Drosophila melanogaster: one gene and its partners. The protein of the gene in region 3 interacts with the protein of the main gene of each other region in a pairwise test. Each region holds a gene or a part of one and is shown on either strand. Other genes may lie near its edges. The genes, in order: hng2, CG10431 and CG16863.

The links.
Region 1: the proteins of CG16863 (region 3) and hng2 interact in a two-hybrid assay, tested with the Drosophila melanogaster proteins (one large-scale study listed by BioGRID).
Region 2: the proteins of CG16863 (region 3) and CG10431 interact in a two-hybrid assay, tested with the Drosophila melanogaster proteins (one large-scale study listed by BioGRID).

The regions. Positions count from the first base shown.
Region 1 is NT_033777.3:8,802,156-8,811,456, reverse strand, and holds hng2 (hinge2), read right to left. Parts: upstream 5,136-9,301; 5' UTR 5,092-5,135; coding exon 4,878-5,091; intron 4,825-4,877; coding exon 4,274-4,824; 3' UTR 3,876-4,273; downstream 1-3,875. Other genes in the region: CG9837 (uncharacterized protein), read left to right, coding at 1,675-1,728, 1,790-2,359; CG9839 (uncharacterized protein), read left to right, coding at 5,959-6,265, 6,331-7,892; CCT7 (chaperonin containing TCP1 subunit 7), read right to left, coding at 5,438-5,664, 8,055-8,378, 8,452-9,271.
Region 2 is NT_033779.5:18,967,141-18,978,687, reverse strand, and holds CG10431 (uncharacterized protein), read right to left. Parts: upstream 3,979-11,547; 5' UTR 3,912-3,978; coding exon 3,841-3,911; intron 3,784-3,840; coding exon 1,566-3,783; 3' UTR 1,492-1,565; intron 1,426-1,491; 3' UTR 501-1,425; downstream 1-500. Other genes in the region: Swip-1 (Swiprosin-1), read left to right, coding at 1-333; L2HGDH (L-2-hydroxyglutarate dehydrogenase), read left to right, coding at 4,650-4,771, 5,229-6,086, 6,141-6,528; Tango6 (transport and golgi organization 6), read right to left, coding at 6,706-7,208, 7,269-9,470, 9,529-9,589; Nak (Numb-associated kinase), read left to right, coding at 10,273-10,435.
Region 3 is NT_033779.5:13,785,811-13,795,802, reverse strand, and holds CG16863 (uncharacterized protein), read right to left. Parts: upstream 4,845-9,992; 5' UTR 4,776-4,844; coding exon 4,639-4,775; exon of another isoform or gene 4,586-4,638; coding exon 4,208-4,585; intron 4,139-4,207; coding exon 2,668-4,138; 3' UTR 2,539-2,667; downstream 1-2,538. Other genes in the region: Sec71 (secretory 71), read right to left, coding at 1-907, 1,175-1,955; Eato (engulfment ABC transporter in the ovary), read right to left, coding at 5,502-5,946, 6,013-7,015, 7,083-7,706, 7,767-8,004, 8,107-8,290, 8,352-8,503, 8,568-8,880, 8,944-9,244 and 2 more.

The DNA of each region.
Region 1 (9,301 bases), on a different chromosome or scaffold from region 3:
TGTGCCGAGCGGGATGGAGATACTGGTGGAGCGAGATGGGAGGCGTTCGTATTTACAAGTTTTGTGCGTTGGTCTCTGACGACCCCTTGGCCACCCATCTCCTACGTCCCCCTGGTCACAGTCCCCATTCCTCACTCCCCTGTATTTTTGTACAACCATATGTATGTATGTACGTATGCGTGCAAAGTACGCAAATGGCGAAGAAAAATATTAAAAAAATATAAATATAAAAATAAGTTAAACACACAAGAGAAAAATATTCACTTCAAGTGAATTCTGGTAGTGTATTTTAATGTATTTATGGGCTATAAAGATTTGATCTTTTCGAGTTTCATTTATTGCTGTTATTGATGTTTCGCTGGAACACTATGTTTTTTTTCTTATCAAAACTTTTTAAGAAAATTACCAGCTAGGAAACTCCACTTGAACTCTTGGTTCTTTCGTGCTCATAAAAATATCAACAGTTTTTTATGTGTATAAATTGTGAATATATTATGGGCAATCTCATGTGAGTGTGTGTCAACGGTTATTTTATTTTTTTTCCTTTCGGTTTTTGTTATTTTCAGGCAGTGGAATAATTTTATTCTGCTGCGCAATTTCTACTATTGATTCCCATTCGTATTCCCACATTTTATGCTTTTCTTTGGCCTGCCCCTATCGCCATGGCTTCGCTTCCATGAACTGCCCTGCTTTGATACCATTTTCTAAATTAAGGCATACTTTCGCACAAACAAACATTCGACTGTGTACATATACATATGTACATATATGTGGGGTACTTGCGGACCCTGATAGCATTCGCACCTTATCGCTATAGTGGCTCTGTGTACATTATAATTATTATTGCACGCGTAAACATCATATATAGCGATAAGAGCGGTTGTTGTTACCTCAGACGGATGATAAGCGTAGTGTAGTCAAGCAGATGTTAACCCTTAGAGAGTCGGAAATTCGGTTGAGTTCGTAACGGAAATGACTCTGTGAAATGGGTTCCCAAAAAAGGTGGATGATTCACGGACTCCAAATACCCATGCGGGCTATTAACCAGTCCATCTTTTATGTCACATGTATTAAGATTATATTTATATAGCACACATTTTTTCTTAAATTGTTTAAATTTTTATACCAAATGGGAACTATATCCATATCAGGCAATTAATATTAACTGCTTTTTGGATCACCCTCAATAATGCATACAATCTGCATACTCATTGTTTTATTACAATACAACTACCACTAATTAATATTAATAGACCACATATGATATGGCATTCGTTTAGTCAGTTTAAGATAATTCTGAATTCTGTATACCCTCGGCAGGTTCAAAGAACTTACTAGTTTCCATAGAGGTCATATTGGATACGAAGCTTTCAGCAAATTGAAATACTTGCTATTCCAAGCGCCTTGAAATGGTTTTAGGTTGGCAATCGCTCACCTCACTGTATTGACTTTTCATCTCGGCGAACACGTGACTTGCGCTTTGTCTGGCAATATGTATTCCCATAGCTAGAAAACTCATTGAATGTGAATGAATCTGTTATCGGTCAAGTGGGAACGATGTGTGATAACCCCGTGGTTTGATAAGCGTCGATGTCGAGCTTGGATTGCATGAAGTGGTCTGATCGTGAGATTTCAGCTTGGAATCAGTCAAACATTTCCCAGTTCACCGACAAGATGTGGTCCTCTAAGACTATTTTGGTTTTCCTAGCAGCATTTACTTTGGTCCAGGCATGTTTCCGATTGTGCAAGCCTGCTGGATGTTTCTTAACAAAATTTCTAATCCTTATAGGGTAGCATGCGGTTTCACTTCACCTTGGACTTTCACGTACAGCAGCCGCCGAATGCATCCGACACCATCGACAAGACCATTATTGTGGAGAACGATCGGATATCTATGGTGGACAACGAAGGAGCGACTACTAAGGCTCCGATGACCCAGTGGACAGATCAGGATCAGTATAATCAGGACGCATTGCTGAAGGTGACCGATACGCGCAGATCGGTGCAACAGCTGAATACGGAGCTCTCACCCCTGGTTGGCAGGAGCACCGATTTGGCCAGAAGGATTAAGCAGAGTATGCGATACGTCAACGAGGTGGATGCTAATCTGGACGATTTGAGCAACTTTGGGCAGCTGGTGGAGCTGCTCAAGAAATTCGTAATCCTAGTCGATAACCTAAGGGATCCAAACAATCTCGGAGGCATTCGAAGCCTGGAGTACGTACTCCTGAAGTTGGCTCTAGAGAAGTACGACCTTCTGAACAAGCGACAGGAGATCGGTGAATACTTGGAAAGGGCGGAGAGTGCCTGGCGAAGATACCAAAACACACAGGTGGTTGTTCTGGATAACTCCACCTGAGTCGGGCTCAGATGCCTAGGACCACCACATTAGGAACTTAGTTTTAGGATAAAACAGAACAAAGACCAGCATCATGGGTCGACACAATCGCTGCACCATGATCTACTAGAGCGGCTCGGCTCTTGAAAGGAATAAAAGACATCGAAGGGACTTCCTGTCTATTATTCGATTTCACTGCAATGCCCAGAATTGCTACAGGTATGCGAGGGGAGGTATTCCAGGGGTAGAATACCCTAAATTCCCTTCGGTGCCCGGTTTCGTTAAGGCTGGAAAGTACGTTACACACGCTGGGAATGCCTTTGTACACTGCAAAAAATTTAAGTTAGACCTAGAAGAGTAAGCAATCATGATAAATAAGTATTTTACCCTAAACAAAAATTCTGCTTGATTTTTATTTGTTTTATTTTTCCCTAAAAAACTGCACCTGCAATCATTTTCGTGAAGTATTGATTTATTGATATTGATGTAGATTTCCTATCAGTAGAATCTACATTTCTTGCATAGCAATTCATTTAATCTAATCAAAATAACAGTAATAAAATACTTAAAAAAGAAAATACGATAAAGTTTTCAGTGCATTTCCATTCAGCAGATGCAGGTAGTCGGAATCGAGGAACTAAGGGACCTTTTAATAGGGTAGAACAGCTGCCAGAGCCGTTGCTAATAGATGAAGTGGAGGGTAGGGTCCCGAACGCGGGCAGAAATTTCCGAAACCCGAAACAACCACTAACAAAAACCATATGCAGTTAAGTGGGAAATGGAATGGGGCGATCCCGAGGAGAACGGCATCATCAGGACGTTACGAGTACCATTTGTCGGGTGAATTGTGGGGGCGGGTATTCGGGGTAACGATATCGTCGTACCCCCCATAGATGGTACTCAGGGAATTCCCAGCAGTGTGGAACGCTTGAAAGCCGACACCGCATCCAAATCTCTGTGTTACCCCTATGGGTTCCTTAACGGTTTTCAGCGATTTCTTTTTAGGGGTGTCGTCTGGAGTGTCGACTTATAAATACGCTCGTACAATCCATAAATGTGCCTTTGTGTTGAACAAAAACCATGAAGAAATCGGTATACATAATGAAAACTCGATTGGCATAAGAGGTACAAGCTGTATGAATACAGGTTTCAACTCTTTTTTGTATCAACATCAGCCGAAACTGGTCAAACGGCTTTGGAACATGGGCCATCCGATGGCTTATGTATCGTTTTGACAGTTTATGTTTATACTAAAATTTCGCTGCAGGCGATAAATATGTATTGAGACAGCATCCGGCCCAAGAAAGTAGTGGCTAGGGGGATGAATAACAGAACATGGGATTTATGTAAAAATATCAATTACACATGTGGACAATTTGCTTGCATACATAGTTAATATACATATGAGCATATATATTCATATGAAATTCCATACAAATCCATGTTGTATGAAATTGATATTGAAACCCACGTATAAAAATATATTGCCGTCGTTAGATAATTTATGGTTTAAAACAAAATAAAATGCATATTTTTTATACATTATTTAATGTTGTTTTTAATGTTTTTTTCATTGTCTTAAATAACTCTACAACTATTGTATTATTATCAAAAATTACAAAAGTAAGCGTATAATATATACATTGCGCAAAACACAGAAGTTACTATGAGAAAACTATTTGACGCATTATTAAGAACTAAAAAAAATAATTGAATCATTGGTTGCATTAAAGTTTAACCCCTGGTTTGTGAATATTATTGTTTGTATATTAAATTACAAATTACAGTTCATTATTTAAATTTCGCGCCCTAAAGATTAGACGATTTACGATAACGATTAAATGTATTCTTATTGCTTATGTTAACTTGCTGTTAAACGAATTTTGCCCTTCTTGTAAATGCATTTGTAAATGATTTGACTTCTGTAGTGAATATTCAATTCGGCTTGAAGTTTCGTAGGATTTTCAGGACCTCGATCTGAAAGTCAAGCTTGCGATCGGCGCACATCTGCTGCATGTGAGGCTTAATGGTGTCGAAGAAGGCCTGATCAGGATCGGCGGACAAGTAGGCGGTATTTGTACTGCAGGGTGGATCTGATGGTAACTGTGGAATATATGCGATTTCCGGAGTGGCGGTGTCCTCCTTGGCGCAGCCCAGATCTCCCAGAACCGTATTTATGTTGCTTGGTATGGCTGGATTGCGGATGGCAGGCTCAATATTCGATTCTTGGTCGGAGTTTCTCTTTCGTGGAGTCTTTGCAGATCTCTGTGCGGCAGTGCTCACTCGCTTCCGTTTGGCCTGGGGCTTGGGTTGCTCCTTCAAGGATTCTACATCGTCCTCCGACTCTGCTTTCACGTTCAGCAGGAAACTCAGTTCCTTTTCGTAGATGTAGGAAGCTCTGGCCACCTCCTCGCCACTTTGACGTAGTCGGTTGACCCGTAGGTAGCTGTCCCTCGTGTTTTTCCAACGTTTGAGCAGTGTTTTAACTGGAATTGGAAGTTATGTATGATATAGACTCAAAAAGGTAGCCACCACCTACCTATTTCCTGCTTCTCCGGCTCGCTGGAGTCGTCAAAATTCGAGCAAAGCTCGTGGCCAATTTGCTGCCAGGCCTCATCTCTGAGTTCGCGGTTATGGAAGTTTGGGTGGCTTCGTTCCCATATAATAGAACGTTTGTGTACCGCGTCAATGAACTCGTACATCGAATAGCGCAAATTGCTTCCTGCCGATCGAAGAACTTTATGATTGCCCATTATTTATTGTTTATTTAAGGGTTGGATTGGATTGACAATATGTTGCTTGCGTTTAACAGCACCACGGGCAGCTGCTTAACAGCACTCCCCGCAGAGTTGCCACCTCGCCCCGCATTTAAACTAAAAACGTTCTGATGTTATGAAAATACAAATTTCAATTTTGTGTTTTATTATTAAACATATACAGATAGGTCAGTGGATTATTGTTGCTGTTGTTCTTGCTTCGAAGCGTGCGAAATGCGAAGGTATGACCGAGTAATACGTGTACGTGTTAAATTAGGAGAGAAATGCAAGTGAGTTTTGATGATTAGGGTGTAGTGTTCTCTGGATTTCTGAATGATTCTATTTACATGGGCCTGCCCATTCCGCGGCCCATTCCCATGCCACCGCCGGCCATCGGGGGTTCTCCGGCCTTGGGACTCTTTATTGTCTCATCGACGGAAAGGATCATGCAGGCTGCCTCGGCGGCCGCCGTCAGTGCATTGATCTTAATGATGGACGGCTCCCAGACGCACTGCTCATAGTTGTCCGAAATGTCTTCCTTGTTGATGTCGACGCCGTACCACTGTCCTCCTGTAAAAAGGTAAATGTATAAAATTATAATAATTATTAATTAGAGTTCAAAATTACACGACCGATTTGAATTCGCCAACGATTTTTGCAGGTAACATTTCGTTCAGGTGGCAACGCCGCTTACAGCCCGCGCAATAAACGAATTGAGAAGGTGCGAAAGAGCACAACATACAGCACATGTGACTCGAGTGAGAGAGGACGAGTGACAGTGAGGTCGAAGAAAAACACGCGTTGCTGCGGCTAAAATTTCCTCTGTATTTACATTATTTGGAAGAGAAAACGCAGCCAAACGAAATGTCCAGCTCCGGAAGAAAGCGCAAGCAGCAACTTAAGCCGCGTCAGGACGATCACCGGTCGCCGGTGAAGCGACGCAGTGTGGACATCAAGTCGGAACCCTTGGACGGCTATCCGGCGCTAGCAGACTACGATTTAAGTACGGCCGATATCAAGCCGGATCTCACTGAACTCCAATTGCAGCTGGTGGCGGAGCAGCAGGCGGCCAGCAACACCATTCGCTTGGAATTGGAACAGCAAGAGAGTGATTCCGACGAGGATGGCTACTCAGAGCTCGATTACCAAGCTGAAGATGTCTTCTGTCAGGGTAAGAAGGGTGCTCCTCCCGTCATTTCAAGACCCCACTTATAAAATTATCCTTTTTAAACCCAGACGATATGGATGACTACGATCCAGATTGGTCCAGCCAGCAGACGGGTTCCCGACTGCTCTTCAAATTTCCCATCCAGCAGAGTGGCCTGAAATTCGGACAACGCTTCCAGGGACCACAGCACTACTTCAACCAAGTGCTGGGAAATCGCTCCAAGTTCTTCAGTTCCCTGGCCCAAAGCTGCAACCTAAAGGGAGGAGAGCTCAAGTCCAATCCCACAACTGCCGAAGAAATGGAAATCTTTATGGCGCTTTCCCTGCTTATGTGTGACCTGAAGCTGGAGCACCTATCGGATTACTGGAGCACTAACATGTTTTACGGTCTCGTCGGATTCTCTGGGAAGATTCCTCTGGAACGGTATCAGCAGCTGCTGCACTGCCTTAACTTTGATGCACCGCAGCTACAAGCGGGCAGAGCCAAAGTGAAGAACTCTCTACTGCTAGACTTTATCAACGAGCGTATGGAAGAGATATACATTTGTGGCCAGCAACTGGTGCTCAATGAACCTATCACTCTGTGGAAGGGTGCATTAAGATACCAGGATGAACTTCCAAACAAATTCCGCACCAACGCACTACTGCTGCATATGCTAACTGAGCAGAGCGGTTTGGTGGTGAAGATTCTACCGGAGATTGTGCGGAAGGAAGACGCACCGGCATGGGTACGCAATTCCCGGCAGTTGGTGGAGCACCGAAACAAGATTGTCCTGAAACTAATGGAGGGTTACCATGGAGGACGCACTGTGTACACCTCAAAGTTCTATGGAAGCTACGGCCTGGCTCAGGAGTTGGCCAAGAAAAGCACCTATTGCACTGGTCTGCTGGACAGGAATAGATATGGCAACAGTAAGGCACTGGTGCACCAGCGGTTGGATTCCAACAGCATCTCCACCAGCTATGCCACTTCTCTGATGATGGCCAAATGGCGACGACGGGCAAAGAGCTTGTACTGCTTCAGCTCTGACTGCTTGGCCATTTATTCCAAGGAGATGGCCATGCAAAAGACAAATGCAAAACCTAAGTTGATCCAGGAGCTCGAGTTTCAACTACGACCTGGAAACGACGGTCGCCACCACCTGATCCACTACCAAGCTGCCTGCAAGGAGCTGAAGGCAAACATAAAGTTGACCATTTTCCTACTCAACATCCTCGTGTACAATGCCTATTTGCTATACTTTGCTAATGGCCAGAATGCGCGAGTCGGACATCTTAAAAGTTACTCGGAGTTCCGGGTGATCATCATAAAGTCGCTTCTAAGAGAAGAAGTGACGAACGAACCGGTAACTAGTATCCAGAAGCCAGAGACATATGAACGGTCAAAGAACAAGCCGGTGCCCGAGCCCAGGTTGAAGACCATTCTACACGAACCCATGCTTATCCAGCAGAACGGGAAGCCGGCCAAGAAAAACTGCCGCTATTGCCACAAAGGCGGAATGCTGCAGTTCAGCAGGTACATGTGCAACACCTGTCCCGATAAGCCGGGTCTATGCCAGGAACCCTGCTTCCTTCTCTGGCATGAGCAGCTCAAAAAAGTAATCAGACAGACAATTGGACGAAGTGAATAAAAATGGATTATCATTCGTTAAGAGGAACAAATGTTTTTTGTTTAAAGTTTCACACACAAGTTCTTTAAAATAAAAACTTATCCTTCCCCCTTTCAAATATAAATTTCAAATTCACTCATCGTTAAGGTGGCTTTGTATGGACAAATACCATTGGACACTCACCCTGGGCGTGCTTCTGGCGCAACTTGTTGAGAATGTTGGTGGCATCGAAACCGGCGTTGTCGCACAGCTGGCGAGGAATGATCTCCAGGCCCTTGGCGATGGCAGCAATCAGCAGCTGCTCCTTACCGGCAATGGTGCGCGAATAGTCCCGCAGCAGCTTGGACAACTCCATTTCAATGGCACCGCCGCCGGCCACAACGGAATCGTGCTTGATGGTGCGCCGCACGATCATAATTGCGTCGTGGAGGGATCGCTCAGTCTCCTCCAGAAACTGTTCGGCACCGCCACGCAGAATAAGGGTGCTCGTCTTGGCATTGGGGCAGCCTATTTAAAATGGAAAATAACAAGTGGTTGTTAAAACGAGTCCTTCAATTAAGTATACGAATAAGATTCTTACCTTGGAAGAGGTTGAAACGTTCGCCGCCCACTTGGCGCTCCTCGAAATGTTCGCACAGGCCGAGTACATTGGGCTTAATGTCGTTGGCCGTCGTCATTACGGCTCCACCGCAAGCCTTCATGGTGCGCTTAAGATCTTCTTCGGGAACGCGGCCGGCGCAGAATATGTCGCGGTCGGCGAAATACTGTGTGGCCACATCACCGATGGGCAGCTTGGAGAGGACAACATTGGCGCCGGACTCGTGGATCTTAGCCAGCTTGTTGTAGAGGATCTGCCACTCGGCGTCGACCACCTTTTGGTACTCCTTGACGTTGTCTACGCGGATCTCGGCGTTATCGCGCTCAGCCTTAAGCTCCAATTCGATGTTGAGCAGGGCAATTTTGCAGTTGTCATAGGATTTGGGGGCCATTTCAAAGCCGGCATAGGAAAAGGTCTTCTTGAAGGCCACACCCGACACTAGCTGTGACTCCTCCAGCGAGCCACCGGTCACCTTCTTAATTCCAATCATGTTGAGGGGCAGCAGCTCATCCAGGGAGAGCACAGCATCGACTACAATGCGGGAGAAGAAGTCCTTCTGCTGGTGAATCAACTTGGAGGACATGGCAGTGGCTGCGCACTTCTCAAGGAGAGCACGCTGCTGGTCCTTGGACTGTTCGACAATTTGGACGGCCATTTCGTTGATCTTTTCCATGCAGAGCTGCAGGGCCTTGCGGATGGCCTTAATGATGACTCGTGGGTGCACTCCCTCCTCCACGAAGGGTTTCACCTGCTTAAGGAACTCGCCGGCCAGCAGAACCACGGACGTGGTGCCGTCACCCACCTGAAGGAGAAGTCGAATCAAAGCTTTAGC
Region 2 (11,547 bases), 5.2 Mb from region 3:
CTGGGACTCAAGCAGATGATTGCCGAGGTGGACGAGGATAACGATGGCAAGATTTCATTCCGAGAGTTCTTGCTGATCTTCAGGAAGGCCCAGGCCGGGGAACTGGACTCCGATTCTGGGCTGAATCAGCTGGCCCGCCTCACGGAGGTCGATGTGGAGCAGGTGGGAGTGAGCGGAGCCAAGAACTTCTTCGAGGCGAAAATTGAGCAACAGCTGCGGACGAACAAGTTCCACGACGAGATTCGGGCGGAGCAGGAGGAGCGCCGGCGAGAGGAGGAGGAGCGGGCCCAGCGGCGTCAGCAGTTCCAGCAGCGGGCAGCGATCTTCCAGTAGAGGACTTAGGTTCGCCCTTAGTCTAGCGAGTAATTATCTGGCGTAGGTTAATCGAATGTGGAACTAATCCCGGGAGAAGAGGATACGCTTCGTACAAGCATTTTTCAAGCATCACATACTCTAATTATATTCATACTTATCGCCCCATACATATAAAAACTCGATTTGCTGGCAAAAACATCTTGGGAATTGAATGTTATCTTTGACTAATGTTTGTTTTGGATCTTTGAAGTACCCATCACAACTTATCAAGTAACAAAATATAACGTTCAATTTCTAATATATATTTTTTTAAAACCAACCAAACTGAGCCACTCTAGCCAGGGACATATGCATACATACGTACATTAATAACGATCATACCAAAAGCGTATTTATAGTTAACCTTTAGTTAAGTTTAAAATGTTTTAGATTAAGAACTACTTTATTGTTTGGTGTTGCGCAAAATTTCATTGTTGAATTACGTTTATCCTTGAGGGTTCTCCAAAATGTATGCTTTTTACTTTATGATTTTGTACTTTTAGTGCCATTTTTATGTTCTTCGTTTTAGTTTTGTTAAAAATAAAATTGATAGTTATATTAAGCAAATAAACTTGTGAAATTCAACCTTCTTTGTATATACTAATCCTATGTTGGCAGTCAATCTTAGTTTTTTGCTTGGATCAGCCTAAAGTAAAACAATAAGTTTCGATTCAGTATTTCACGTTTAAAGTTAGCGATTTAAGCAATACTAATGCGTTAAATACGAATACACAAGAAAATACACGTACTTTTAGAGAACGTTTACTACAAACTTATACTGCAATTTAAATAAATAAATGTATATAATACAAAATATTTAAGATCGCCTTTAGTTTTCCCCCTTTCAACCTTTTCAAAAATGTTGTTCCGATTTGCGAAACCTCGTTCCTGCTCAATGAAGCGTCGGTTTAATTAGGTTAAATTACTTATTGTAAGTAACCTTGACTAGCGCCAATTTCATTCCCGCTGCGAACCCTTCATCACCTTGCGTGCCGTACTGGAAGACCACCAACTAAGTACCCCATAGAGTGACTAGGCTTAATGCATTTAGTGCATCGAGATTCAGATCATCTGTGGAAAGAAAATTGTAGTGGCGTGTTATCGCACATTGTTTTTTAGAAAACAAATTGGTTTTACCTCCAAGATTATAGCATTTGCTTGAGTAAATACCATTTCCTTGTCCAATCGTGAGTCATCTCCAGGGCTTCCTGTTACTCCCCGGCAGCTGGACCTTTTCGCAGGGAATGCCTGCACCTCAGCATATCGCATTTCAGGGCGTAGCGATGCTGGCAAACCGGACACTCATGCGGCTTGAGCTGCAGGTGGTAGCCCTTAATGTGTTGAGACAATCCGTTGCGTCGCTTGAAGACCCGCTCACAGATGCCGCACTTGTGTTGCCGCTCCGTCGAGTGGGTGATGTTATGCTGGCGTAGTCCGTTGAGCGAACCGAATGATTTTTTACAAATATTACACTCAAATACTTGGGTGGGCGTAACTTTCTTTTTCGAATTCATTGCCGTCTGCACCTTAGTTTTGGATTTTTTGGGCCTGCAATTGAGTTCATGACGACGATACAGGCGCCAGTGGGCAAAGGCGATGGCCTGGCAGTGGCGACACTTGAAGCTCTGAAGGCGCCGATGGTTTTTGAGCGACAACGATTGACATATGTATCGCATATGCTGGCGAAGACCCAAGCGGGATCGAAAAAACTTTAGGCAACCAGAACAGCGTCCTGAAAAATTGGGTATTAACTTTACAAAGTGTGCTTTCTGACGACGGTGGTGGTGTAAGTTCTTAAACTTTGAAAATCCCTTCCTGCACATCCGGCACACATAGGTTTTTCTGTGCACCTTCCTTGGTGACTTCAGTTTTTTGCATTTCAGCTGCAACTTACGATACCTGTTAGCCAGTTTAGCGTAGCTAGCAGTCACTGCAACCAGTTGAGGATCAGGTGCGGGTGCTGACAGTTGAGTGGCTGTCGGTATAAGGTCTTTGTGATGCAGGAAACTACTCTGCATATCTAGTATATCAATCTTTTTCCTAGGTTGCTTGGATACAGGACTATTATGCCACTCCAACGGCCAGTATTCGGATTGTTCAGTGGCCACAAGACCTCTGTTGCTTTCCATTTTCATTGGAGGGTTCATGGTTAAGCTGGGAAGGCATATATTCATCGGAGGAACACTAACCATGGGAGTGGAATTACTGTGACTGTGTGCATAATGCTGATTTAAGCTATCTATTGTTATAAATTTGGCAGTGCACAAAGTGCAGTTGTGAAGCCGAAAAGCCGCTGAGGATTCGACCACACTATCGTTAAGTACCACGATGTTGGGTTTGATCGACGTGGGAGGAGCAGGCTGTGGCAGCAGCTCGCAGATCATTGGGTTAGGTATCTGGCTTACATTGGTCACAATGGGCTTGCATGAGCGCGGTTCGGGGGCCGAGGGAGGGTCTATATTATCCTGAAGAGGAGGGGGATCAGCAGGCGGAGGAGCTGCGTCTGGCGCAGCATCCGTTCCCTCCACCTTTTCCGTTTTGTACTGATGCGGGGGTAGTTGCCACTCCTCCTTCGCATAATTGTGCTCTTCGGTTAGGAGTTCGTTTTGCAGCATTTCATTAGCCGTTCTTCCAGGCTGTAGTCTCTCCGACTGTCCCACATCCGCATCGTCTGGAATATTGATAAACGGATCGTCCAGATTGATTATCTCCATGATATCACAATTGTTGATAATGTCTTGGGCATTTAGCATAGGGAACTCGCAGAACTGAAACTTTTGTTCAGTTTCTTCCTGATCGCAGCCATCGTCCTGCTCCAAACCCATGTCCAGTTCATCAGGAAAAAGATTGTCCAAGCTCTCGCAGGCCTCCTGTTTCACACGAACCAAGGGTTCCTGTTTGATTTTCAGTTGTCGGCGGTATTTTCTTTGCAATTCACTCTGCGCCAACATCACCACATCGATGAACTGGGAAAAGCGCTCCAATTGGAGGCAGCACTCCTGGCATATTTCCTTGGGCAAGGTGTCGTCCTGAAGAATCTGTAGCGTAGGAAAGCACTTCTGGATCATGCCAAAGAGCTCAAAACTCTTGTCAAACGAGGAGCAATTGATGGCCGAGGAACCACAAAAGCGGCAAGTGGCTTTAACACCTGTTGCTGCTGATTCGGCGGCACTAGAAAGAGTTTGCTTGTGCGTTGGCCTATTGCTTGGGGACACCTGTTCCAAGTGCCCACTCATGGAGTCATCTTCCGAAACCCTAATTGATGGCACAGCATTTTTCTTAAGCGTTTTCCGATTATTGCTGCAATTAAAGTCCTCATCACCAAAGTGCCGACTGCACAGCGCACTCCATTTTGAGGGCATCCACTGAGCACTCCTCTGGGTAAATTCCTTCCATTTCTGTAGAAGATCCTTCCGTTTGAATGGAAATCTTTGGGAGAATAGAAGCTATAGTGTAATCTTGTCAATTGAAAATCAACTCACTTACCTGTGAAATGAAATGCTGCCCGCGTGCACATACTTATGGCTGCAATTTATCACGGCGCAGTGGGCGGGCATCTTAAGGTATTTATGGTACAATAATTTGTAATAATTTGCAAATTTCTGTTGTTTACATCTGTGAGCTAGCTGTTGTTTGCTAAATCAGCTGGTTTTGTTTTGCTTCTGAAGTGTTCAGTGTTGGAAAATGCGTCTCACATATTGTTGATAGCGGTCTTTTTTCTTGCAGTTCTGAATTAATAACGAAACTTTATTCATTTGTGTTTGCTATCAAATACGACCAAATATAATGGGATTCCGTATCGAATAAAAGCAAATTTAGGGTTAAAATTATATGTTTGTTTCTTGTAAATACTTTTTAGTCGAGTAATCAGCATGATCGTATAACCTGAAATATTTAAAATGAAATAAAAATTTTAATATTGTTAGATTACAGAAAATTTGCAAAATGGCAGCTGGGCACATTAAATCTTATCAACAAACCGAACAGCTGACACACACGTCCTTACCCAACCACCCCCTTTCAAAAATAATCCGTCACACTTATCAATTAGCGCGTTTATGATCGCCCCTCGGCCCCACAAATCGCCCAGATGCTCGGCCCGTGAGCATATTTATTTTCTCTCGCCCCACGGAAAACTTCCACGGGCTTCAGTCTGTCGATTCGCTCGAAAGCGCGCTGTACGCACAAGTTGGCGGAGGAGAAGGCAAGGTCAAGCAAGGTCTTTCTTTTCGGGTTGGTAAATAATCTAAATTCTACGTGCGTGCGCGGGTGGTGAAAGCATAAAAGAAAGAGAAATGGCTCAGGTGCGACTGCTGGTACAGGGACTTCGGCGTAGCCTACTCAATGTGGGCGTGGCCGCGCCCAACGAATCCACAGCGACCCACAAAAGATCGCAGCACAGCTCGTCGAGCTGCGGGTAAGTCTCTTGAGATTACGATAGGGTTCTCTCATTTTCGGGGGTGTTCCGATCCTAAGAATCTTTTCACTGTTTGCAGAATATCATTTAGGTGTTCCAAATGAGCTAAGTAAGCTTCTTTTCATTTAGAATGCGCTTTTAAAATCATGTTTAGTTAAGCAATGTATATTCTATTTACTTTTGTATTCTTAATTGCATAGCATAGTCTTTTCACTGCAATCTGCAGCCTTTATCTTACTTATTAGTTCCCAAGATCTCGACGTTCTTGCGGTCTGACAGTCGATGAACATATTGATATGGCTAGATCGACTTGACTGATGATCCTAATCAAAAACGTGCCCGCACACTCTTTACTCTAACGGATATACAAACATCTTTCTAACTTTTAAAAACTTTAGAAGTCTTAAGTTTATTTAATTTTTGAGGCTGTTAGCTGATATGTTTTGTATTCCCTCAGAGATTATGATCTGGTTGTCGTTGGTGGTGGCATCGTCGGCGCCGCATCTGCCCGGGAGATTGTCCTGCGCCATCCATCCCTCAAAGTGGCTGTCCTGGAGAAGGAGTGCAAGCTGGCAAAGCACCAGAGCGGCCACAACTCCGGCGTCATCCATGCTGGCATCTACTATAAGCCTGGAACCCTGAAAGCCCGCCTTTGCGTGGAGGGCATGCATTTGGCCTACGCTTATCTGGATGAAAAAAAGATCCCGTACAAGAAAACCGGGAAGCTAATTGTGGCCACGGATGAGAAAGAAGTGAAGCTGCTGAAGGATTTGGAGAAGCGTGGCATTGCCAACAACGTACCGGATCTGCGAATGATCGAAGGCAGCGAGATTCAGGAGATCGAACCCTACTGCCAGGGAGTGATGGCGCTCCACAGTCCGCACACTGGTATCGTTGACTGGGGATTGGTTACCGAGCATTATGGTCAGGATTTCAAACAGTGCGGTGGTGATATCTACCTGGACTTCAATGTCAGCAAGTTTACCGAGACCAAGGAGGGCACCGACTACCCAGTGACCATCCATGGCGCTAAGCCCGGTCAAACGGTTCGTACCAAGAACGTATTAACCTGTGGCGGTTTGCAATCCGACCTGCTGGCTGAGAAGACTGGATGCCCCAGAGACCCCCGCATCGTGCCTTTCCGTGGAGAGTATCTGCTGCTGACCAAGGAAAAACAGCATATGGTCAAGGGTAATATTTATCCGGTGCCGGATCCACGTTTCCCCTTCCTGGGAGTTCACTTTACGCCGCGAATGGACGGATCTATCTGGCTGGGACCAAATGCCGTTCTGGCTCTGAAACGCGAAGGTTACACGTAAGTCTTCTTAGAGCTCATATTTAAACTTGTCTGACACTTCACTTCTTCCAGCTGGGGTGACATTAATCTTTTCGAGCTTTTCGACGCCCTGCGCTATCCGGGCTTCGTAAAGATGGCGAGCAAGTACATCGGTTTCGGACTCAGCGAGATGTCCAAATCGTGGTTCATTAACCTGCAGATCAAGGCGTTGCAGAAGTACATCCCGGATATTACGGAGTACGATATCCAGCGTGGTCCCGCTGGAGTACGTGCCCAAGCAATGGATCTGGATGGCAATCTGGTGGACGATTTTGTTTTCGATCGCGGACAAGGATCGGGAGCGCTAGCCAAGCGAGTGCTTCACTGCAGAAACGCCCCATCGCCGGGCGCTACTAGTAGCTTGGCCATTGCCAAGATGATCGCAGACAAGATCGAGAATGAGTTCTCTATCGGCAAGTGATGCCTCTATCCCAAATAATGTAACCAAAGTCCAAAACTAAGTCCTATTTTCTGTTCTGCCTTTATGTCAGTAATGTCTGTACTGATTCGCCACTATCGCATTTCTTTTCGAAACTGTAATATTGATCTATTGTGTATAAAACAAAATTAAAACTTGTGTAGGTTTCTAAGATAGCCTTTAATTCAGTTCCAGTATATGTCGGTTTCTTCTTTGAGGTGAATCATCGTCCTTAATGCCCAACACCTTAATCTGCTTCTGTAATGATTTCTCCTCCAAGGCAGATTGTATCAGTTTTGTGCACTTTTTGTTTAAAATTTTCAGACCGTTTGCAGCATGCTGACGCATTTGAGGATCACAGGATTCATCCGCTTCAATCGCTTTTAAAAGGCGATAAATGGGGAGTAACATTTCCTGGTAATCCAGAAGGTTCTCCATGCCGTTTAATAGTTCAGCTAAGACCAGGACTGCTGCACGCTTAGAGGGAACATATCCTCCGGTGGTTAATTCGCTATTAACAAGTTGGAGTAACTCGTGGAAGAAGTTCTGCACTTGAAAGGCCAAAAGGCGACAAAGCTGGGCAAGATTGGCAAAGGCTGACATCCGGAATTCGTGAACAGGAGACCGGGAGCCGTACATGAAGCAGTTGAGAAGAACAGCCTTGTATCGAAAGCAAAGAGGACCTGGATGGGATTAGTATGAAAGTTTAGGAGTTATTCTTAGCTGTGTAGAACATTGCTTACCCAACTCCTGAGCGACTTTCAGAATAGCTTCACCCACTACGAGGCGGTAGTCTAAGTGAGCCGTCTCTGATAGGTACTCATCACTCAATTTGTCCAGCACATCGGACTCCATCACATGAACAAGCGACACAAAGAGCCGAACACAATTTAAGAAGGTGTAGGATTCCTTATCCTTGAGAGTGGTCAGGGCTAACGCTATGATAAGTTGACCCTGCGCTAAGGTAGCAGGATCTCTTTTTTTCAGCAAATCAATCATCATCTGAATTCCATACACTTGCATGTGGGATTGTTTTTCCTCTATCAAGGACCGAGCTCTTTGAAAAGGTTGTATTTTAACAGCCTCACTTGGTCGCCATGCGCCGTGAATTATTGTAAGCAATGATTTTACAGATTGCTGGATAAGAGGGTTGGAAGATCGAGTACCCAACAGGTGCAATTGTTCTTTCAGTTCCTTACAGGCCTCTGAAAGTTGAATATTCTCACTGCCCTCAAGAATTTCCTGCAAGAGGTTTAGAACGAGAAGTAGGATCTGATCCGTGGTATCTTGCTCTCTAGATCGGTGGACAAGCAAGTCTTTTAGTATATGTAGAAGCTCCTTGGTATGTTGTGATAGCTGAGCTCTTAATGGTTGGTGGGCTACCATTTGGTTTAAAGCAATGAGCAAATCTAGCTTCAGTTGATATTTGGAGTGCAGAAAGTCTTTGAGCTCTGCTTCTGATGAAATAAAATCTACGCTGGCTGAAGATTTATCATTTATCTGTTTAGCTATGAAGCCCAGAAGAGAGAGGAAAACTTTGCAGGTGAGGGAATGATGAGAGCTTGATGTGAGTAGACCGGGCAATATTCTGCCCATATCGTGATCTGCTAGATGATCTTTGTGAGCTACTTTAACCTGAATTTGAGTTGTGTTCATGGAAGGCAGGATTATAATGCGTGGGTTTAAACACTTCCAAGGAGGTTCCTTCTCAATTTCCCATTTAAACAGCTTCTGGAGTATCGCAGGTAATTCGTTTTTCATTTCTCTGTTGTCCAGACAACGCAAAATAATGGCAGAAATCTGCGATGACGCCGGTAATTCCATTGGAAGGCCATCGTAGAGTTGGAGCAGCAAAGGAAGGTAGGGAACGAGTAGATTACTGGGTAAGCAAGCTACGGTTGAAGAACAAAAGAGATGCTGCCATAAGAGAATGCGATTGCACAGTTCCTGGTGATCCATTAAGATAAGGCCATTAATAATGTCTTCTGGGTTACAAAGCGTTTCCCAGTGTTTGAATAATATTTCTTTTATCAGCTTTTGATTTGTATCACTTAAATCGTAAAGTCTTCTGAGCGATAGGACACCGGCGCACATTTTGTCCGCATTCTGCAGATAGAACTTACAATATTCTAGCACCTGGAGAACCATCTTCTCTTGCGCTAACTGAGAAAATCCTTTTCTGGCCACAATACTAGCCACAATTTCCGCATTTCTGGAAGAATTCACATTGGGATTTTGATGCAGGGCCTCAACAAGACTAGCAAATCCTTGGGGTAAGTGAAGCTTTCCTAAGAGTTGACGGTGCAATAATTGGGCCAGAGTTGGGCAGAGAGTCGTAGCTTTAAAAAGCAAGATGTTGCGAAAGAAATCTGCTTTGGATTCATATTGCCAGAGGTAGGCTATAGCCTTATCCAGCAGTGGAGAGTCTTGCTGCACACGTAGACTCACAATGGCCGCCAGTAGATCCCTTTGCACCAGCTCCATCGAGTTGGCTATGTGGTATTGTCGAATATGCAGTAGATTAATAAAGAACTGAATGCTTAGAAGCATCAATGAAAAGTTAGCTTTGATTTTCCCCTGAGCCTCACAAAAGATGGGCGACTTGTAGAAATCCTCATGTAGCTGGCATCGAAGCGAGTAATATGATAATTCTTGGGAAGCCTGGATACACAATTTCAGGTGCGCTACCGAAATAAGATCCTCCTTGGCGTCGCTGTGGAAATTAATGTTCCTCATGATCGAATGTAGCACATGTTGCAATCTTATTATATAGCATATAGTACGATCCGAATCGGGATCAATACTAGATTCGTGATCGTCTGTTAACTGATATTCCAGGCACAGCTCATGCAATTGCTGACCAATCTCGAGTTTAGCATATTTTTCCAAAATTCGCAGGTTGATTTCCAAGGCTTCGGCAGTCCCTGAGTTATTCGCCGTATTTGCTGTCGAAATATTAGTATTAGGGATACTACAATTATTATATGATGTTAACCAATTTACCTAGAGCTTTACTAAACCTTAAACTCTCTAGAAGAGCAAAGTACTTGGCCGTATTTATCATTGTTATCCCAGCAAACTACAATTTTGCGAATTTAGCGACCATTTGCTAGAGATGCTTGTTTACAATTGCACCAGCACAATCGATAACATATTGATAAGGGAAACACGATGTTGGCAGCATAGCTAATTAAAACTGCGCGATAGTTTAATGCAACTGTAGCTATATGTTTTATTGAAAGTAGAACCATATTATCTTTTTAAATTGGATCAAATTACAAAAAATTGTTATCATAAAACCTATTTTGTAAACGGGGATTTCCTTGTTTTCAGAATTTCGAGATTGCAACCAACTTATCTATATATCGATAGGCGGCTGCACCAGCCGCGGGTTGCGCATCTGACTGCAGCAAAGCGCCCTGGTCACACTGGCCCAACAACTCGAGAGCAGCAGGAAAATCGAACAACTTTCTTTTTCCACTGCATTGTGTGTGTGCATGCAAAAACACAAAGTGCGCAGAATAGCTTTATTCAGCTAGCCGATACGACTCGAAAGTGGATTAATTGGCCAGCGGCACCGACGCCCCGCCCACCGTCAGCCGCCCTCGCAAAATTAAAAATTGCCAAAAACACCTACGCGCAGGCAATTAAGACCGTGTTAGCTAGTGTGCGTGTGTGCTCGCGAGTGTGTGTGTGTGTGTTGTGCTGCTGGGGCAGTAAACATTTTCTAGTGAAAATCGGGGGAAAATGAAGAAAATCCTGTCTAAGTTCGAGCGCAATGAGAACTCTCGACTGGAGAATCCGCCCAACAGCAGCAGCTCGTCGTCCTCGAACGAGAAGAACAGCTTCGTGGGCAAGGTCTTCACAGTGGGACGCGTCACGGTCACCGTGGAGGATGTCCTGGCAGAAGGTAGACGACTATATATACACTCTTATATATGTGCTCCCATTCCCCTACCTACAACACGTCGCCCGCGATTATGCTTATCACCTGCCTGATTTACAGGTGGGCAGTAGCCTGCCGTCCGCTTTTCGGTCTCGCCCCTCGTCACAGATTAGATAAACCCCTTCAGCGCGAGAACTCCCAAATGTGGGGCGTACTCAAAGCGCTAGAGAGCATAAAAATCAGCTGCGTATCCTCCATAATTGGGGACACCACTTGTCGCATTTCCGATTAAATCCAAATAAATTACTCCCAATAATTTCTGTATAAGATGTTAAACTCAAAACAGCTAAAATCTGACTTTGATATATTATCTTTTAATAAAACTGTAAAACATTTTAAATTATTTCATTAATTATGAATACTAAATACTGGTTTGTAACCTAAATTCCAACTAATTGAACTGCAATTTTGCCCTTGGCATAGAACTACATATTTATGTCCATAACTCGGCTCTCTAATGGCGTGCAGATATTTCGTCCAAATTTATGTCAGTCTTTAAAGAGTTTATTTTTGCCAAAACCAGAAATGCCAGCATTTCTATTGTGACAAATGGGTGTCCGCGTTAGAGAAACCCGACTGTACAAACACAGTTACGGTTCTGGTTGGTTTTTCCATGGAATACCCATTGAATTCCCGTAGCCACTACACATGGCCACAAATCAATTGAATCAATTATGTTAATTTAGCCAATGAAGCGGCAAGACCAACACTCATCAGCCGACTGTCTCCGACAGTCTTCCGTTTTTCACCTTTCGCCGAGCTAAATGGCAAAGTTCGCCCCTAAGGAAATCGCCTGTGCTGTGTCCTTGTCCTTGAAATGCGGAGTGCTCCACTCCACATCATCCTGCAGTGCAAGTGCCTCCTTGTTGGCCTGGCACCAGTACCCTCCGCCCAACATTTGATCATCTAACGATTGCTCACCCACCGCCTGGCCAGCCATTCGCCACCTTTCCTTTAGCCATTACGTAGTGTTTTTTACTTTTTATACTTTTGGCAAGCGGACTCGATTCGTAATTTTGTTTTGCGCTGCGCTGGCGCCGCTGGCAATTAGTCAGCTGTTGTCGGGCATACCCTGT
Region 3 (9,992 bases):
TTCAAACTATGACTGGAACCACTGTGCATCGTTTGGATAGTTGTGTCCGCCTGATCCTGCTCAGTGCTTGTCGGCGATTGGACTTGCATAGGTGGAACCGGCATGTTTGGATTAACATACAAGTCCTTACTCCACTCTACCATGCACTTAAGAATGGAGACAAGACACTCCAGGCCGCGAATGCGCATCGATTTCTCTTGCATCGGATTGGCGCCCAGTTCGAGAGCCTGACGACCCTGGGCAATTTTCGAAAGATCGTTGACCAGTCTCTCAAAAAGGTTTGCAGCCGAAAAGTCGCAATCGTAATTAACATAGATATCCACCACGGACTGGGCGTCAGCACAAATACGTGTCAGCGCTTGGATTACCATCCATTTGTGCTCGAAGCTGCTTGAGTTCGCCTCAAGAATGTTTAGGAAGATTTCCTTGAAGAACACCTCTATCTGCCGCTTAAGATGCACCTTGAAGTTCGAGAGTAGGGCAACGAAGATTGAAAGCGACAGCTCGAAGACCTCCGGCACCAGACTGACTCCGTTGTTTGACAAGGCCACGCACAGGTACTGCTTAATGGCCATGATGAACATCTCGTTGGAGCGGAAGACGGGCCCGGCATTCTGGAGGATGAGCAGCAGCAGATGCAATGACAGCACCTTGGAACGCAGCTCGTGCGATTTCGGATCTGGATGTCCATCCGGCAAAGGCTTCATCGATAGCTTGCACAGTGCCCGGAACACGAGAAAAGCATCTTTCTGCAGGATGTGCGTAAACTTAGCCGTTACAACCGCATCGTTTTCGCTGTGCAGCTCCACACTGTCGTGATCCGAGTGCGAGGAGTAGTCGTTTCCATTAAGTGTTGGCTCTGGCTCACCGACCGATTCCTGATCCTTCATCGCCTCATTGTAGGCAGCTGAAAAACGTAACTGTCATTATTTTCGCGCAATGATAATTAGACGGTTTGGAGGAGTGGAATTTTATGTTGGACCTTATCGTATCGTACTGTAAATGATTCATACAATTTTTTCCCATCCGATAAGAAATATTTTATGAACTTAATTACGTTTCTTGAAAATATTGAAAAATAGTTAAATCTAAGCGAGTTAAGTAGAATAATAAGCAACTTCAGCTTAACAAGAAACATCTGTTTATCAAACTTTCTCCACCGAGTGCCACGCACCTGATATGATCTCCGCCAGCAGTTCCGAGGCAATTACTTCGTCGGAATCCCGCAGCGACTCCTCTCCCGAGCCATTGCAATCCTCCGAGTGGATGCTGCCGTTGGTGGGATTGGAATTGGGAGGTGGTAGCTCGTACACTTGATTCTCCATGCGGGCAAATATCACGTTCAACATTTGGGTGAGCGTAGCGCGTGCTGTGGTCTGATTGACCAGGTTCTTGCTGGACAAATAGATGTCGTAGCAGGTGCGCACAGCTTGCAGCAGTGTGAATTCATGGATTTCCACATGCTGCGAGGTGACCACCGTGAGCAGAGCCTTTATTATCTGCAGTTGGACGGCCTCGTCCGTCTGGGGACCACTGAAGCAGCCATATATGGTCACAACGATACGGTCGATGAGCAGGTGACCCGGATTGGCCGAGTCCTGAATGGATCCTGTCAAATGGCCATAGGCAATGAGTTTCTGCAGGCAGTCCAGTGCGGTGACCACGATCCTGGGCGAGCGGCTCTTGCAGGCAAGCTCGAAGGGGAGAAAGTAGGTCTCCGCATTTATGATGCTCGCTGCATCATTCTTGGGCAGCGGGAGTGCGGCACAGGGCAGCTCATTGCCCTCTGCGATCTGGCCGGCACTGATTAGCTCCGCCTTAATCTGCTCCAGCGCCGAATCGCAGGACTTCTTCAGCTGCGAGTGATGGGAGCGCCGTATGTCCTTATCGGCAAGGATCTTTTCTAGAGCACGCACGATGAACATTTCCTTGGTTTTTGTGGAGTTGTTGTGCATATTGGGCCGCTGCCACTCCCAAGGTCGCCTTCGCTGGGTGGGTTTCGATGCCTCTTTCCCTACTACCACTGCTTCGGATTTCCCTCTGCCCACCGCTTCCGGAAACAACAGCCACGCAACTTTCGCCTGCTGCCTTCTGGGTGCTCCGCCAGCTGTGCGGAGTGCTCCTCTCGGTTGGATTGTCGTGTGGCGGCACTCGGTGAGTTTTTAGCGTGTCGTGGATGTTTGCATGTTGCAAATCTCTCAGTTTTTCCACATTTACATTCCCTTCAAAATACGAAAAAACGTCATCAGAAGTGTGACCGTGTAAGCGAAAATTACTGAGCTGTCGGCAGTGTTGGGAAGTTTTTGGTATTCTCTCGGTTTTGGTATTTTTGCTAATTTGCTGGTGTTATTGTTATTTGAATTTGTAACGGCGATTTGTGATAACAAAAGAAAAAAGTAAACAATAAAGTTATATTTAAAATAAATTATTTGTGTAAATATGTGTAGTAAATAGTACTTACAAATCTTTAATGAATATGTGTTCGTTATTCGTTCCCTACCTCTAATTTTCTAATACAAAAATAGTTCCTTAACGCTTGAGAAGCTAAAAAGTTAAAAAATGTATTTTATAGTTCGCATTATTGTAAATGTAAATTAATAAATTAGTTAATAAAAGGGGTACAAAAACACAGTGCTCAACTTAGGTTTGGATTGATTATGGACTACGCTATAACTGCCACTCCTTCGTTGGAATTTCCGCCATGAAGAGTATGTTTTCCATGTTGTTTTCGATTAGTCTGGCGTACTGCGCCGCAACCGCCGCTCCTTCGGCCGTAAATAGCCGATCCGCCGGCTCTGCGGTGGCCGGAACGTGCAGGTACCTCTGTGCTACGTTGTGCAGGAAGGGGTGAGCTTCGGCCAGTTCCTCCCAGAGCTGAAAGGGATCGGCTCGCAGGGTACTCATGCCGGCGCAAAAGTATCTGGCTATCTCATCGTCCGCCTCGGGACCGTTGCTGCCGTTTACAATCCTTTGCTTCCCATGCGAAAAGGATTTGAATGCCGCCCAGATATCGTAGTGATCACGGTTCTCCGGATGCTTTGCAACAGCTTGCTCCCCGCTGTCCACATGCGCCTGCATCATGTCATAGAGTTGAGTCATGTACTGGGCCACCAGGGCCCCACTCCGGAAGGGAATATTTCGAAAGCGTGGGTCCAGCAGACTTGCCAATGCCAGGTGCAAGTTGCGCTCCATTCGTTCGAAGATCTCCTCCAGCTGCTGAACCAGGAACAAGCGTATTTCCCTGGCAACCATGTGTTCCGCACTCTTCTCCTGCTTCAGTTCGTTGATCAGAGTTTGGGCAATGGGCAGGGCTGTGCTGGCCGCCGGATATGGTGTTCGACTTAGCTCACGCATGGAGCTGGTCAACGGCCTCAGCACGTCCAGCAATTGCTGACACAAATCCACCTCCGATGTCGAAAGCGGCAGCGGCTCTTGAACGAGAGTCTGTTTCAGGTATAAGTCTAGCATATTGTACACACTAATCGGTCGGTGTATGGAATCCAGTTGGGGATTCAGCTGCAATGTGGACTGCACATGGGAACGCACCTTGTCGCGCAAATGACGTATTTCTGGGCGCTGCACCACCTCCTCTAAAATAGAATTCAATTGGTCTGCGAAGCAGGGAACATGATGATGAGCGCCCATGAACGATGTCACCGCATCCTCCAGTAGTTGACTGCTCCTTGTCGACACGCAGCAGATCCTTGACTTTGGAATGTCGAAGCGCTGACACACTTGGTCCATGCGATCCACCAGATCGTTGGAGGTGAAAAGATCGGGAAGGCGCAGCACAGAAAGAGTTCGGGAGATTCGTTGCCGCCCCTCGTGAAAGTGGGCCACCAGCTCCATCCAGCTTCGACTCTCCGCATTCGTGTGCACCGAGCAACTTAGGCTGAGTGTCGAGATGTCGGCCAACTGCTGGCAGAGCTTGGACCTCTGCGCTTCCGACTCCCTGCAGATAATGGCCTCCAGTTTCGCCGCACTCGGTGGTCTGTAGGTGGGGCACAGTACTTTCACTAGGTGCTGGAATCCCTCGCCCTGCACAATCTGCAATGACTGGCGGTCACGGCAGACAAAGAAGGCAATGTCCTTGTGAAACGGACTCTCGCTCGGCAGAGGTTCTTCCATTTTTAAGTTGCTGGGTAATAAATGAAGTTTACTACAATTGTATCTATCTTCTACCTTCTATCTTTTGATTAAAACTTACTCATGGCCGGCAAATGGTACAGCATGAATTTGGGGAAGTGGGCTTTTCTCCGACTCATCGAGCTCCTCCTTGGGTTCGAATTCGATGATATCGTCGCCGCCAACCGTCTCCGTTCGGGACACTGTGGCCTCCGGAGAGACCCACGCATACCCGACGCTCTTTGTTGAGATGCGATCCTCAGCAGCCGCCTTGATCATTCCTTGATCATCCAGCTCGATAATGCCGCTCGCATCCTTGGCAGCCTTGAACAACAGCTCGCTGTGGAAATCAGAGCTCTCTTCCTTGAAGGGAACAACCTTCCGGAATCGCAGCTTGTCATCCTGCTCCCGCCGCTTGTATATGCCCCGCTCCACCACCACATCGTCGTCGAAGAGGTTTCTTCAAGAAAATTTTCATTGTGAAAGGTTTTTGAACTCAGGAGCCTTTCCTACATCTGCGGATGGGTCTTCATGTGCTTCATCAGATTGGACGTGTTGCCGCTTGTCTTGATTACTTTCTCGCAGAGCTGGCACTGCGCGGAATTCCGATCCAACTTGTCGTAGAACTTCCATATTCTGCTACGCGACATATTCGGCATAAACGATAAATTAACGACGAAAAAAATGAATATTTTGTAAATAACGCTACATTAGTGTGGCCAAGTGGGAGATTTTTTGAGAATTTGACATTTCCATTAGCGCCTAAGTCGTCCAAGTAATAATAGTTTTATATTTATTTTTCTCATAATTAAATATTCAATAGTCAAGCTGGATAAAAAAATTACATTATGTATTACTTTTAATTCTTGAATGAATCGTTAAATTCCAAATATAGATCGTTTAAAGTTCCTTTTGGTATTATTATGAGTGGTATTTTAAAAATACTAAGGCGGGAGATTTTAAATTAAAAAAAAAAAAAAACGGGAGAATGCTATAGTCGAGTTCCCCGTCAATCAGATACCTGTTCCTCTACCAATAGAAGGGTATAAAACTGTTTTTAACTTCTTTTGAATTATGATAATTTACCTTAATCCCATAATCAATGCACATCAAATATTATGTAGAAATATTTATTATAATATAAATAAAAAATATTATTTATTTGTCGTACTAGTTATATCTTACTTTTATATTTTAGTTTTATATACCCATGTCGAAGGTGTTTGTTTGGTTTTATTAGTCCCTAAATACATTAAGTAGATTATTCCCACCGGATAGAGATTCATAAAAGTTCCATATTTGAGGGAAATAATGAAATGTACGACGCCCGTCTTCTGCTTATCTTACTTGATACTCCGACACTCCGACTATCTGGCCTAAACGTAGCTGCATTCCGGCCTGCGTTGCACGGAGGTTTGACGTGACGTCGATTGTGATTTCGCCTCTCTCTCGAACTTGAGGAAAATATCCTCGAGTGTGCACTCGTTCACCGAATAGTCGGCCACGAGAGCGCTTAAGCGATCGCCCAGATATTCCTCAGCTATCTTGAAAACACTTGACCAAAGGACCACACTCTCCTGCGTGCTAACAAAGTAGGTGAGTGTGCCGGCATGGCTCTCGCGCAGTTCCAGACCAGGAAACTCTGACTTCAACGTGCCAGTGATCGTGGACACATTCATCTCCGTTTCGGTGTCCGCCTTCATTTTCAGTTTTATCGTGAAGCCGCTTAATCGCTTAAGGGCGCAAATATTGTTCAGACACTTGAACTTTCCGTGCGCCATGATGGCCAAGCGATTGCACAGCTCTTCGCACTCGTCCATGCTGTTTGTAGAGAATGTGTACACTTTTGAATCTGTTTGAAAAGGAAATATACTTTTTTGGGCTTACCTATGTGATGTGAGCACCACTGTTCGATCCTTTCCCTGGAAATCCTTGATGCATTGCCAAAGAAATCGTCTCGAGATGGGATCCACACCGGTGGTAGGTTCGTCCAGGAGCACCAGTGCGGGTGCACCAATCATGGCCATTGCCGCCAGAAGCTTGCGTTTCGTGCCGCCCGAATAGTGGCGCACTTGCACCTTTTGATATTTGGTCAAATGCATCTTCTCTAGCCAGTACTTCACGTGCTCCTTGCAGCTGGCTGGTCCATCGGTCCTTCGGCGGCTCAGGCCGCGCAGCAATGCCATGTAGTATAGGCACTGCTCGGCGGTCATGAATTTATTTAGTGCATCGTACTGAGGGCAGTAGCCAAAGTATTCCCGGTATTTCAACTCATGCTCGCGAATGTCTGCGCCTTTGATGCGGATAGTGCCACCATCTAGAGGCAAATTGGCCGCTATCATCTGAAAGGTACTTGTCTTACCCGCTCCGTTAACACCCAACAGACCAAAGCATTCACCCTGGGCAGCCGCAAAGCTGACTCCGTCCACAGCCAGCTTATCGCCGTATCGCTTGCGAAGATTGTGCACAATCAGTGAATGGTCGTTCAATGGGTCTTTTATCAGATCGGTAACCCGTTTTTCCTCCCTTGCACAATCATCAATTTCTGAGATCGGAGTACTGGGAAGGGTGCCTGTCGAATTGTATTTCTTTCTTTGGAATGCCCATTCCCAGATGCCATCATGAATTCGTCTGCGCAGATACTTGTGTTCCAGGACTATGGTAAAGAATGCCATGACCATAACACCCACGGCGGTGGCATAGGCAAAGAAGGTGTCCTGGCTGATAAGACCCTTTATAAGTGCCGGATGGCGTCGGGTTATAAAGTTTTCATTGATGATGCGAAACTGGTGATTAAGATTGAAGTCCGGTAGGAAGCAGAGGAAGGCGATCTTGGTCTCATGCAGTTTCATGGCCGCCGCATTGCTGGAGGTGATAAGTGGGGCAATGGCTAAAAGAAAATGGGTTTTATAGTTTTTCTAATTGTTGTCACTGGTTATAAAATCAAATAATATTACCGGACACAATCAGCATCAAAAGCAAATAAGTAGATATCGTGGATATCGACTTAAAGTTGTTTCCCAGGGCGTATAGAATGGGCAGGTAGCTGCAGCCGTAGAAAAATATGCTTAACACAATGACCTTAAGTTCAGCCGTTGTATACAGCTCCGAGGGCATCATCAAGGATTGCAGACTGAACAGGGCAACGCAGACGAAGATCAGGATCAGCATATCAAAAGTAAAATGCGCAAACCAATAAGTAAATCGCGACATGGTCTGCAGCTGTTTGAATCCATTGGCATATTCCCGAAACGGCAATGAGATGAAATAGAACATGAAGAAGAACATGCCGATCGGCACGATGACCGCATAGTATTCGAGGCGCGATGGACTTATGTCGCTAACAAATCGACGAATTGGCACGTAAGTCGTATCAATTTCAGACTCTGGACGCCCTAGCTTCAGCATTGCCGAGTCCACCAGGTTGATAAGCTCCACAGAGCTGTGGTAGCGATTGCCTGAGTAAAAAATCTCAATGGTGGGCGTATCGGAGGTGCCACGCCCACCTCCGTACATGTCAATAATGCCAATCACCTGCTCCAAGAAATCAGCCAAGTTGTCGCGTTGTAAGTCAAGGGATTCTAGAGAACACATGTATTGATAGAGCCATTAAAATGTTTAGCACAACGTCGCATACTCACCATTTTTCACATCATTACTCCCACGCAGGTGCATTGTTTTCGCTGTGATTCCATTCAGCTCGATCTGTTGACGCAGCTGCTGCTCCAAATGGGCGTGATGGCCCGTTGGATTGTGAACGTATATAACGCCACTGCCCATCTGGCTGAGCTTCAGCGGCAGAGCCTCTTCGTTCTCCACCAAGGACATGGCGTGCATCACCAGTATAGCCCCGAATACGCATACAAAGGGAATGCACAGCTAGCGAGAGGGGAGCACAAAAAGTTTTTAGTTCGTTTTAGTTTTAGTTGTTTTCGCCGTTTATACAACAGAGCAAAGTCCTACAAATTGCTAACAACTTACCATTATCAGAGTATATAACCATTCATTGGAAATAAAGGTCCACTTTTTGTAAAACACAGCCATCCAAAGTTGAAAAAGTCCGCGATGAGGGGGATGGTCTTGGAGTCTTTTGTAGTGTGCCAGTAGCGGCGCATCATTGCGCGAACCATCGGGGGTATCCACTTGATCCTGTTCGCCTGCGCATCTAAAACACCACATAAGATATTAAAGCAAAAACAATAAACAATGTATCTTCCAATCCCTACCTTAGGAAAACATCCTCCAGGGAAGTGTCGGTCATGGAAATTGTATGTATGCCCAGTTCCTTTGATTCAGTCTCCAGCCTATAAAGCATTTGTGCGAAACAATTTTTATAGGCATACGGCAGGCAGATATACACAGTAGGATTCACCACATTCTGTTCAACGTTTAAAGGATATTATGCACACGCCTTATATAAAGTTCATTTATTAATGACTTACCAAGACTCTGGCTGTTGGCACAAAGTGATGGATTATTTCCATGATTTCCACTTCTCTTGATGTAAAATCGTTGATCTCTAATTTGAGACGATAACCAATTCCCGATTTTCGTTTTAATTCCAAAGGACTCCCGATGCTCTGCAGTTTTCCATTGGCCAATATGCAGATGGTATCCCCAAGGACCTCGGCCTCCTCCATGTAGTGCGTGGTGACCAGAACGGCCTTCTCCTTGCGTAGATTAAGTAGGATGTCCCACAGCTCACGACGCGAGTTAATGTCCAATCCCGATGATGGTTCGTCAAGGATTACGATTCTGCGAGATTAAACAAAGATTTTTAAACCGAATATCTTTAAGCAATATATCTCTTAAGTTTACTTGGTGTTACCGGCAATGGCGATACCCAGTGATAAACGCCTCTTCATGCCTCCAGACAAATTCTTGCCGAATTCGTTTCGCTTATCGCTAAGTCCCAGCTTCTTAAGTTTCTCATCTGCCCAATCGCGTGCATCGGATCGGCAAGCTCCCCGCAGCTGGGCAAAGAACTCCAAGTGCTGGTGACATGTCATGTAGCTCATGAAAACGCTGTGCTGCGGACAGAATCCAATCAGGTGGCGATAGGAGGCCACATCGCGCTCACTGCACACAATTATCTTGCCCGAATCCTTTGGTACCAATCCTGAAAGAGAATCAACATGTGCATTGGATGGCCGAGGAAGCGAATTGAGTTTGAGTCCCTACCCATTATCATGTTCATCATGGTTGTTTTTCCAGCTCCATTGTGGCCCAGCAGGACAGTAATCTCCTTGTTGTTGATCGTCATGTTCAAGTTGTCCGAAATTAGCGTATCGCGCTTGCTTGTCTGGAACTTCTTGCACAACTCAGTGATTATGATAGCATGAGTGCCGCGCGGTGTCGTCGTGTATTCGTTGCGTTGTCGTTTCATGTAAGTCTTGGGCTATGGTTTAGAATAAAGAAAATTCTTAATTTAACCCTGTTTGGTTATGCAGCCGATAACCGATACGGAACTGTAAAAAGGACATTTTAACCGATTTCAATAAACAAGATTCGATCAAAGTAACCTATTGAAATAAAGAGTCTTACTGCATCTGATCTCATACTTGATTATAATGAACATAAAATTATAATACGAACTGAATTGAAGCTTATGTCGAGATAAGAAAATATATCACACGAGCGAAAATTTTGATCTGATACCGACATTAAATATCATTGGTTCGGACTTCGGAAATAGTACTTACATCTAGGAAAAAGAACATCGGTCGCTTTAGTCCACCAGGACCGGGAAAAACACAACCCAAATAGTTGTAGAGCATGGCATACAAAAAGGATTGAAAGACGAGAACCACGTAGACCGAAAACATCGTTGAGGAATTGCTTTTGATTACGCGAAATACATCCACAGC